Saccharomyces cerevisiae S288C: one gene and its partner. The gene in region 2 interacts genetically with the main gene of each other region. Each region holds a gene or a part of one and is shown on either strand. Other genes may lie near its edges.

The links. A genetic interaction does not mean that the proteins touch.
Region 1: of MNT2 (region 2) and TLD1, extra expression of one rescues a mutant of the other (dosage rescue), as found in Saccharomyces cerevisiae (one study listed by BioGRID).

Annotation. Positions count from the first base shown.
Region 1 is NC_001136.10:1,010,345-1,014,063, reverse strand, and holds TLD1 (triglyceride-associated lipolysis regulator TLD1), read right to left. Parts: upstream 1,813-3,719; coding exon 1,105-1,812; downstream 1-1,104. Other genes in the region: PMP3 (Pmp3p), read left to right, coding at 421-588; YDR274C (uncharacterized protein), read left to right, coding at 2,104-2,475; DON1 (Don1p), read right to left, coding at 2,791-3,719.
Region 2 is NC_001139.9:10,370-18,785, forward strand, and holds MNT2 (alpha-1,3-mannosyltransferase MNT2), read right to left. Parts: upstream 3,789-8,416; coding exon 2,112-3,788; downstream 1-2,111. Other genes in the region: VEL1 (Vel1p), read left to right, coding at 741-1,361; alcohol dehydrogenase ADH4, read left to right, coding at 4,790-5,938. UniProt on the Saccharomyces cerevisiae protein: Mannosyltransferase involved in adding the 4th and 5th mannose residues of O-linked glycans.

The DNA of each region.
Region 1 (3,719 bases), on a different chromosome or scaffold from region 2:
CATACAGAAGAAGCCGCGCGCAAGCGGTAAATGTCTTTCCTCCGGCCTTCTAACCACCAAAACCGATCTCGGAACATGGGGGGGGGAAGGTCCTCTGAATCGAAAAACCCGAGACAGCGAGAGGGATTTTGCAGAAAATTACAAAGATCACTATTTACTGCTCCCCTCACTTCCGCAGTCCCCTAATAGCGGAAGATGCAATGGGTGTGGGCTCTGGGTGCCCTTTAACCACGCCCTCAAAAGGGGGTCCTGGTTATTTTGCGATGGGCGCCTCTATAAATACAAAAGAGGAAGTGAGTGTTTTTGTTTTGGAAGAGGGAAAGGAAAAAAAGAAGAAAATTTACTATCGGTTGTTGTTTTTCGCCAGTATAATACAATTGATTATACATTTTGAACTAAACAGCACAGCACAATACAACAATGGATTCTGCCAAGATCATTAACATTATATTATCCCTTTTCTTACCACCAGTCGCCGTTTTTCTAGCCCGTGGGTGGGGTACTGACTGTATAGTGGATATCATTTTGACCATTTTGGCTTGGTTCCCAGGTATGCTATATGCCTTGTACATTGTCCTACAAGATTAAGCTCATTCAATAAACGAAAGTAACTATCAAATGAAATAAGGAAGCAGTATTAGGAAACGGTATCAACATGTTCGGGTCACCCTCATTTTTATTTGTTTCCTTTCTTTTTTTTTGTTTCTCTTTCTCTTAAGGTTTCCTCCCCCGCTGTTAATTTTAACTACGTGTGTATTTTTTAATAATTAATTTTATCACAAAAAAAACTTCTCATCTTTTTTGCCTTTTATCATTTTTGTACTTTTTTCTTCGCTTAAAATACACATGATATAGACGCTTAACTATCTGTCCTGCAAGTTTGTTTATCTATATAAATATAGCCAGTATCATCCGTTTACCTGTGTTGTAGAGTTCCAAAAGATAGAACAGCCTTTTATCAGATGGGTGGCAGACCCTTACCCATATTATCTCTCTTATTTTGTTTTTATTTCTCTCTAGCCTTATAATTATTTTTAGTTTCCTTTCTGTAGCAATAAGTGTTCTTAGCAGTGGCGTTGCGTTGCCTTGACCTTGATTATCAATTTAAGCAGCTTTCTGCTCACAAGCCACTTCAAAACGACTCGTGAATGATTTTTCGATCAATGATATCTTATCATAATTCGGATTTGATAGGAAATCATCATCCTCTTCCTCGTAGTAGGCGTCTTCCCTCCTTTCATTAACAAGTTTATTCTGCTTCACAAATGTAACTGTACTAGTTGAATTCAAACGCCTACTTTTGTTAACACTACCTGAACTAATATCATATTCCAGACCAGCTGTAGTATGATTGATCAATGATTCTGAGGATTCATTTAGCATATTAATTATCTCCTCATCAATAACTATTTCCTCCTTTCCGCTTATGGGACCACTGGTCTTTTCTTTTCCATCTGCCACCGGTAATGATGATCTATTGTAGTGGAATAACTTGCAACCGTAATCAAGCAACCTGCACATGTAGAGGAATAGATCGATCGCGTCCAGTATGATAATAGGCAACAGCAATACGATGACACCCAAAGAGCACATCAACTGGAAAATGCCAAACATTAACATCAGTCCTGATCTTATTTCGGATAATATCCCGCAGTGCCACGTCAAAGATAGTACCTTATCAAAGGCGTGGTTGATAATAACAAGTGCTAATCGGCTATTTGACATGATCTCTTCCTTTCCTGATGAGTTCTTGGTATCGTGATCGATCACAGTTGAACCTATAAGTTTTCTAAGCTTCGGGAAAAAAAACATTGTAACTAAAGGCAATAATGGATGCAGATGCCTGGCAAGGAAGGAAGAAAAAAAGACAATAGAATGCCGTTGGTATATATTCTCCGGCTGCCCCGTCAAAGGACTTCTAAAAACTAATATCAAGAAAATCAAAAAAAAAAATCAAAAAAAAAAATAAAGGAAAAAAAAAGATCTCTATCTTTATGTCGGTAGATATGACACTCCCTTCACGTTTATCATCTCTTGAACCTTTTCTAGTTCATCTACACCGTTCCTATTATCTTTCTTTTGCCCCCTTCTCTTCCCTCGTACATGTTTTCTTGCCTTTTACATTCCTCACGCCCTACTGACAGCTATTGCACTTTGGCGGCACCACTCAGCCAGACTGCCCGTACCCGTACGATGACCTTCCATGCAGCCACGGCGAAACGCAAGACCGAGCATTCGGGAATCAAGGAATCTAACTTGCATTTGTCCCGGGTCCTACTAAGCTCTTTCTGCCGTGCAAAAGGACGTTTCGTTTCGTTTTTCATATGCTATCCATTTCCTTTTGGGCTAACTAGGTTTCCGCGGGTTTTGTGGTCAATAGGACTCGACAAATCATTATTTACGCGCGTGCATTTTTCGCCATCATTCTTTTCCCTTCTTGCACCACTACAATTTTCCGGGATTGTACGATCGTAGGAAACTACTTACCGTCAGCGTTGCTCAAAAAGGCCCACATTATTTTCTTCCGTTAGTCCTGTTTTTATATTGTCCTGAAGTTTCCCGGCGCTAACTTCCTGGCTTTCCATTGAGTTTGAATTGTTGAGTAAAAACTAGTGTGCCATTGCTAGATGAACGTCATTTCCGCCCACACATCGACTGATGAATGACTCCATTTTGAGAACTAGATATACAACAAAGGCAAATAAGCGCAGAAGAAGCAATGGTGGTGTCTGTTCATTGCGAGCCCAAACGCACTTTGCCGAAAGAGTTAATAAACATTACCGCTATACACTACGTAAAACTTAATTCTTGTCTAGATGGATGAACCTGCTTTTTTTCATCTTTAGCGTCAGCTGCAAATAGACCACAACTATCAGTGCCAAAGGCAGATTTGTATCCACCGTCGTCCTTGGCAGGTAACCTATCTGCACTGTCACGCTGAGCCTCCGGCACTTCAGTATTACCGCCCTGGTTCTTCCTTTCTTGATTCGACGTATTGGTTTCGACATCTTGCTCTTCTTCTTCCTCGCTTTCGTCGCAGTTTAAAACGTCAAATAAATTGTTTGAAGGCTCATTTCTCTTCACAGTGACGGGAATGCGATTATTCTTCAATGACTTCGCAACAACTTTCACAGCGGCGCCTTTTAAGCTGTTAACTCCCTTTTCTTCTCCCTTCTCCTTTTCCTCCTCTTTTCCCTTCTCTTTTCCCTTGAGTATACTATCTTCGTTTGATAAAATTGTATTATGGCCCTCTGCAACAGCCACGTTCCTAGTCGATTCGGCGACTTCTCTATTCGATCCGGGGGTGCTAATGTTGCCAATGTGTTCGGCCAAAGAACTTAGTTCTGATTCAATTTTTGAAATTACCATGGAGCCATTTATTCCTTGACCAGAAAATTCGTCTTCAATATCATCGAATATTTCACGTTGCAAAATCTCAGACACATTTATTTTACTATAGTCTTCCACACTTATCGGCTTCATTGGTAATGCAAAGTCAGTGTTTTCCTCCGGACTTGAGTAGTAGAGTAAAGAATTGAATGCCGGCTCCAAAACCCCTTGGGAGGCAATTAAAATGGCTTTAATTAATGTATCATCTACTTCTGGAAATGCTATCTTCAATTCTTTCAAGACACATAATTTCTCTACTGAGGAAACTAAATCGCCTATGGTGGGATAATCGAGAATATTGCTGTCAGTTTTCGTGTTTACATGTTCCT
Region 2 (8,416 bases):
CAAAGGTATTGTCTTCTATTGAAGTGGCACTATGGCATGATGAACCCTGAGCATTTCCGAATTCAACAGAACCAAATTGTCCAGAATTAAATCTGTCCGTCATGAAATAAGCAACTTTTTTTCAATCAAGTGAAGTGAGTTTTGCAGTATCTTACCATTATTTTGACCTATTGGCCGCATGTTTGTGCTTTGACTTCGAGAACCATGTTAAAGCTTACTTGTACGACAACCAATGAAGTACATTACGGCAGTTTTTTGGACTGGGTCAAAAAAAGTGTTGCATAATCAAATCAGGAACACATTAAAATGTTATAAAATTTGTCTTAGTATGACCTGAGTGGTTATTCATTACGTACTACTGTCAAAATATTCGGATCTTTCCTAAACGGGCTTTTGAATTAGTGTTGCTTCTATTCCTGGAATGGAAGGTAGTAATTTCATGCATTCTCGCTTTTCGGACTTTTAACAATAAATTAAAAACAATGATACTTTCATCAACTACCTATACACCCTGCGGGTCAATTATTTTTTTTTTCGAATAACCGCTGAGGTTGGAAATATAGAAACATATTCCAGATCTGTATTTTCAGTTGCTAGAAAAAGGTTAATATTATCATTAAGGTTTTCAGCATATAACAGGTATAATTGATATATAAGCATCGTAATTTTCATTCAAAATGGAGAGCTACTGCTTCTGATAGATTGTACAATCTCAAGAAATCAAGAACAACAACCATACCATGAGTTTCCTAAGCATTTTTACTTTTTTCAGCGTCCTTATTTCTGTTGCAACAACCGTCAGATTTGATTTGACTAACGTTACCTGTAAGGGCCTACATGGACCTCATTGTGGTACCTACGTTATGGAAGTCGTTGGTCAAAACGGTACATTTTTGGGTCAATCTACGTTTGTTGGCGCCGACGTCTTGACTGAAAGCGCTGGTGATGCTTGGGCAAGATATTTGGGCCAGGAAACAAGATTCCTCCCAAAGTTGACTACTATTGCTAGTAACGAGACAAAGAACTTTTCTCCACTCATCTTCACCACCAATATCAACACTTGTAACCCTCAATCCATTGGTGACGCTATGGTTCCTTTTGCTAACACTGTTACTGGTGAAATTGAATATAACTCTTGGGCAGACACTGCTGATAACGCTTCCTTCATAACCGGTTTAGCTAACCAATTGTTCAACTCTACCGATTATGGCGTTCAAGTTGCTTCCTGTTACCCAAATTTTGCTTCTGTTATCTTAAGCACCCCAGCTGTGAATATTTTCGGTAAGGATGACACATTACCAGATTATTGTACCGCCATTCAGCTAAAGGCCGTTTGTCCACCAGAAGCTGGTTTTGATTAATCTTTTCTCACATCCTCACTTATAGATATGTTTTGATTATTTTCGTTATAGACAAAAATCTTTTGAGAAAGCCATGCGGAAGTTATTTTTAACTGTAAAGTACAATCGATTTCCTTTAGGCATTTCTACTTTCTTCTGACCCTGATTTAAAATTTTCGAGTTCTTTTTGTTACGATGCGTTATTTATTGTCGATTTATTACATATAATTCTTTATAATATAAAAGTGCAATACAGTGCATCTAGATATGGATTTTCAAAATTTTGCAGAATATGATCGGTTTGCCTACAAGATAAAAGTAAATTATTCACAATTTCCAACATTTAAAAGTGGCGATCGCATAGTAAAAGCGTTAAGAATGATGCTACATCCCACATGAGAGTGGTTCGATTATGCTGAATTTCAACACCAATTCAATATACTTTAATTTAAACAGACATTTATGATGCCAGAGACATAAAGGATCCGAAAGGTTTTAGGAACACCTTAGTGGAAAATCATTTTAGCGTGGCCGGGAGTACCAGATTTTTCATAGTTCCCTATTGCAATCAATTTGGATTTTTGCTGGCGTTGCATCATGGCTATGTTATCCAATGCATGCCAAGAGTGATTTACTTAAAGAGTAACTTCGTTACAAAACATTACGTTATACTTCAGTGCGATAATTTTTCAGATATCAAAAATTATACTACATTATACAACAAAAGCGTGTAGGTTTACCTATTGCTTATAAGACTAGAACAACTCTTGGTCAAATATCTTTATTCCATATGTCGACTATTTGTGAAAGCCGGAGCTTTTCGTCTTCTTTAAATTTGATCAACTTTCCAAACTCACCTTCCTTGAATAATGTGCAATAATTGAACAAAAAACACTCTCCTGAGTTAATCCATCCTGATATACTAGTATCTGGTATTATAATCCCTTCAAGTTTTACTGGTGATGCATAATATTCACGTAATTCATCTGCATTTTGGAACATATCATTTAGTCTCTGTCTATGCTCATAATCGTATTCCCATGAAGTTTTTTTACAAATATTAAGGCCCCCGTTTAGCCATAGCAAGGACCCGTCCCTGTCTGTATGAGATAGTTGCACAGAACAAATCTGGTAAAACTCACCGGTACTCTCTTTTGAAACTACATTGCCCAACTGACCAATGTTTGATGCATCCACAGGATGGAACGTAAAGCGATTGTTCGAAAGTAATTCGCCCAGCCAAAAAAAGTCCTTATCACCATGAAAATATTCTGCAATTGGAGAAAATTGTAAAGCTATTGAAGTAAGCATACTGAAGAGATGCTTTCCTTTATGCAATATTACCAGGCCGCTTTCCAAATGATGTTTATATTTCTTTATAAACATGTTTTCCAGAACCTGTGCAACCACTGGATCCTCTACTTGCTCATGTATCTTGGATTCATCCTCTAAATCAAGCCCAATACACCCATAGACAATTTCCCTTAGAATTTTTAATTCAGAGGATTCAAATAGATCATCTGATATTACCCGATCTTTAAAGAATAGAACTCCAGTCTTTTGAAATTCCTCTAATTCATAAAATTTTTCTATTGAAACAAAGGGCACTGTATCTGAGTCCATTAGAATAGGAATTTCAAAGGATGAGAAGGTCAATGCTAACCACTTGTTGGAATAGGTGGTAAATTTTTTCGAATATTTCGGGTTTAGCAGACTATGTACATTTAAAAACCATAATTCTTGAGCAGGATATTCAGCGGTGTCTAGACTTCTCGCATATTTGATAATAGATTTCATGGAATCTTGACTCAGATCTGCATTATGAACAATCTGTATAGGATAATCATTTTTGATGAACCTCAACACTTTCAATAAGCGTATGGTTTCATTCAACTGCACGTCAGAAGCACTAATAACTATGCCTTTCGAACCACTTTGAGTCACAGTGTGCAACCAATTCTCCCAAAAAGATAGCCCTGTATCGAAATTGATGGGCTTAGAACGAAGGAATTGATGGTTTTTGGGGTCAAATTCCAACATAGACGCATGGTAAACCTCGCCATTCCATCTCGTAGTTGTGTGCCAGAAGGCACTTTCATCAGTTTCTAATTTTTCAAAGTTAATATACGGAAAGAGCTTCTTTTCAATATCCCTCAAACGCTGAATATTATGCCCATCAACCTGCTGCAAGCAATTAAAAAAAATCTTAATCCTCGTAACCAGTTCAATCACATCTTTTGCAGGATTCGGGGTTATTTGATTTACGTCGTAGAAGTCATTCAACCACCCAGGCGTAAGACCTTCATAGTAACTCCAGCAGCCACCATTGCCACTGCTGCTACTTTGAACTGGTTCTACCAAATCTAACGAATTCAACTGAGAGTAATATACTACTAACACAATTCCCAGTAGTACAACTAATATAAACAGTCGATTTTTTCTTCTCATATTCGATAAATACTATTGGGGCTACTTTTGTCCTGTCACTGCGGATTTGCAAACACTCATGCGAATATTTTACTCAATTGAGAGATTTGCTGTCTCCCCCCACTTCGATGGTCCCCACCCCTAAAGTAAAGGAAAGAAGAATTAGCACTGTTTTAGTTCCAGGTACTTCTTTCTTTCTTTACCGGTATTGTGTGGCTCATCAAAACTTCGTCTCGGGAAAATGAAAAATGTAAACAAGAATTTCCGTTTCAAAGAGTTGCCTAAGGCCCACTAATAATGTACTTATTATTTACAATTCGGAGAACGCTGCTGATAGAAATCAATCAAGAAGTCCCTTAGTCTTTGTGTGTTTACGCCATATTGCTTAGTTTCGTAGTGCGTTACAGTTCTATCGTGTGAAAATTTTTTTCTAATGCATCAGCTGTTATGCGCACTACTTGAAAGGTTATCGAGCGTTTGTAAAAAGTAGAAGTACTTAAATGAACCTTCACGGTTAAGCAACCAGTATAATTGAGGCTGCTGATTTGAAATTGCGTTTTGTGTTCAGAAGGATCCCCGGAGGCCTTCAATGAGCTTCCATTTTATTTTCTCCAAGGAGGCCATTTTTTGTAGTGTGATGTTGACATGGTTATAACTGTTAGCAGTGTTTGTGATGATGGCTGTAGTATCACCGCAGTGGATTAGCTATGAAAAAAAAAAAAAAGAACTAGTTTTTAGTTCGCGCATCACGAGGTACGTGTTTAATATGTCAGATGCTTGGGATCACGTATGCCGTTAACTCTACAAAGCAATTGATATTTTGCTGCCTCAAATATCTCACACTACTAGGATATATTCTTTTATCAAACAGGAAAAAAGGGCAGCGTACCAACATGTATAAAAGGGTTATTAGCATTTCTGGTTTATTAAAGACTGGAGTCAAACGTTTTTCTTCTGTCTATTGCAAAACAACCATCAACAACAAGTTTACATTTGCAACAACTAATAGTCAAATAAGAAAAATGTCTTCCGTTACTGGGTTTTACATTCCACCAATCTCTTTCTTTGGTGAAGGTGCTTTAGAAGAAACCGCTGATTACATCAAAAACAAGGATTACAAAAAGGCTTTGATCGTTACTGATCCTGGTATTGCAGCTATTGGTCTCTCCGGTAGAGTCCAAAAGATGTTGGAAGAACGTGACTTAAACGTTGCTATCTATGACAAAACTCAACCAAACCCAAATATTGCCAATGTCACAGCTGGTTTGAAGGTTTTGAAGGAACAAAACTCTGAAATTGTTGTTTCCATTGGTGGTGGTTCTGCTCACGACAATGCTAAGGCCATTGCTTTATTGGCTACTAACGGTGGGGAAATCGGAGACTATGAAGGTGTCAATCAATCTAAGAAGGCTGCTTTACCACTATTTGCCATCAACACTACTGCTGGTACTGCTTCCGAAATGACCAGATTCACTATTATCTCTAATGAAGAAAAGAAAATCAAGATGGCTATCATTGACAACAACGTCACTCCAGCTGTTGCTGTCAACGATCCATCTACCATGTTTGGTTTGCCACCTGCTTTGACTGCTGCTACTGGTCTAGATGCTTTGACTCACTGTATCGAAGCTTATGTTTCCACCGCCTCTAACCCAATCACCGATGCCTGTGCTTTGAAGGGTATTGATTTGATCAATGAAAGCTTAGTCGCTGCATACAAAGACGGTAAAGACAAGAAGGCCAGAACTGACATGTGTTACGCTGAATACTTGGCAGGTATGGCTTTCAACAATGCTTCTCTAGGTTATGTTCATGCCCTTGCTCATCAACTTGGTGGTTTCTACCACTTGCCTCATGGTGTTTGTAACGCTGTCTTGTTGCCTCATGTTCAAGAGGCCAACATGCAATGTCCAAAGGCCAAGAAGAGATTAGGTGAAATTGCTTTGCATTTCGGTGCTTCTCAAGAAGATCCAGAAGAAACCATCAAGGCTTTGCACGTTTTAAACAGAACCATGAACATTCCAAGAAACTTGAAAGAATTAGGTGTTAAAACCGAAGATTTTGAAATTTTGGCTGAACACGCCATGCATGATGCCTGCCATTTGACTAACCCAGTTCAATTCACCAAAGAACAAGTGGTTGCCATTATCAAGAAAGCCTATGAATATTAAAAAAATCGAACGAACTCATAAACGTCAATTATGCGTGTGCCTTATTTATTTAGTTGTGCGTACAGTATAATGCACTTATTTATTTACCAATCAAATGATTTTTTTAACTTTTCACGATCTATATAATTACGTTAATTTCGAGTATATAACAATGAAAATATATATCTACGTTGTTTTAAATTGAAAAAAGAAGAACGGAAGTTCTATTAATGAGCCGAGACCGGTACGTTTGTTGAAAATAGTTTGGACTTAATTACTGACATACTGTTGGCTTTGAAGCATTTAAGACTGAAAAATAGTCATGCAAAAGTCATGCTTTAATATGGTGGGTTTCAGTTGGATGCAAGAAATAAAATGAAATTCGAAGGCCTTTTGCAATTAAACAAGGCATCGTCAACCAGACAATGTCGAAAATTTTGAGTCAATCTAAATCAATCCACCGCCACACTGAATTCTGTCAATGATATTGTCTTCCTTTTTTTGGTTTGATATCTCTAATTTTCAACCTGTTATAAGCAACGTCAATCCGATTACTTTCGTGTGTCATTCACATGCGCATATTTTTTTATTCGTTTTATGATATAGCTGTCTTTATTATAACCTCGAAACACAACGGCAATGTAACCTTACCAGCCGCATTATTACAAGGAGCCCACTTTATTTTCAATTGCTATCGCTACATCGCAAATGCTACAGCACCCCCATCAGACCTTGAAGTATATATATATTTAATAATAAATACATTATTGGAATGGCTAGTAAATTTTGACATAAACATGATTTCCGAACGAATTAAAATACAGTTGATTTAGGAGAAAGTATCAGTACATTGCTAAAAATTTTAAGCAAATGTTAAGTGAAAAAGGCTTATCATTCAGATGAGCTTAAGAATATACTTTTTGCGTTATTCAAGAGCGATGATTATTACTGAACTACTGTGACGATATCAGCAGCATGCCTGATAAATAAATCTGTACATTCGTGGAAAGTAGTATGTACTTTTCAAATATTTCTAAGAGCTAATGATATTTATTTGATATTTATATCGACAAATGAATCTTTTTCATAGAAGCCGTTATGAAGACTCCAAATAGCAATACTCAAAATATACTATAAGATCTCCGACCAGGTACATAATACATGACACAGCACAAATAACCGACCAACTGACAATAGTAGAAAGTAGCGGACGGTGTCACACGGTTTTCTCGTCCACATCACTGGAAGTAAGCAATCTCTTGGCCAGCTTTCGGTGATCCAAATATTATATCAGACCAGTTTCATTATTCTCGGAAGTAGAGTCGAATATTTCCTATTGTATAGTGCTAATGCTATCAATGTTTATTATATACAACGTACAATAGTATTATTCTCTAAGATCGTTGAGTTGCTCATAGAGAAATCCAAAATATTGTGCACAATAAATTATATTATCTTTTTGAGACGATGAAATCTTAAAAATTGTCAGCAAATAAATGTTTATTTATCGAATACTAGGTCGAAACATTTTTTTTGTTTATTCAAAATGATCATGTACCTTCTTCTCGCGAAAGTTTTAATTAAAATTTACTGATAGTTTTTTAATGATGAACTTCTATAACTAAACCATAATAATGAAAATTACAGGTAATATTTATATCACAAGAAACGGCCCCTCTTTTCTGTTTTTATATAGTAACCATTAAGAATAGTTGGCTAATCTACTATGAAAGTTCCTAATTAAAAAAAATTCATGAAGAGTTAATCAACGTTCCAGTACCAAATTTATTCTATGTTCTCCTTGGAAGATGAACTTGCCGCAGTAGATCATAGAACCTCATTTTCAACGTTTTCCAAAGAAATACTTTTTTTATTTAACTGACAAATATTAATACAGTCTTTATATCATCGATATGACTAAAGTACATCGGAATTGCCCAGCAGTAGAGCTCGTGATCGAATAGAAAAACGAGGGCCTTCAGTAGCTCGTAGACATAGGTTAAGATCATGGATCCTGCATTAAAAAATTCACATAGCGCTAGAATTTTGTTAGCGCATCCGCCTGTTTTTCTTTCAAATGTAAAATTTTAAATACGATCATTCCTTTGGATACTCAGCAATAGTGCGCACCAGTTAAGAACTGTTTTTATGGTTAAACATGTCTTAATATAATGTGCATACTTCAATGCACCCAAAATGTATATGTTCAGACAGTTTGTCAATAGAGTAATAATCATTCAAACAAAACCGTAAATTTGAATGTTAGATGTAGCTGTAAAGAAACTTGCTAGATCTAAATATTAATAGAAAAACTCTAACTATCAATTAAACGACATCTTACATTTCAATTTCATAAAAATTATTCTTTTGGCTAGTTTATATCATATAGCTTTCCGTAAAACCAGTAACAAGCAATACACTAAATTGTCCATGTTTTAACTACCATTTCCTTCTAATTTTTTTCCTTTCTTAGCTGATTTAATTCATTTATTTGCTGTC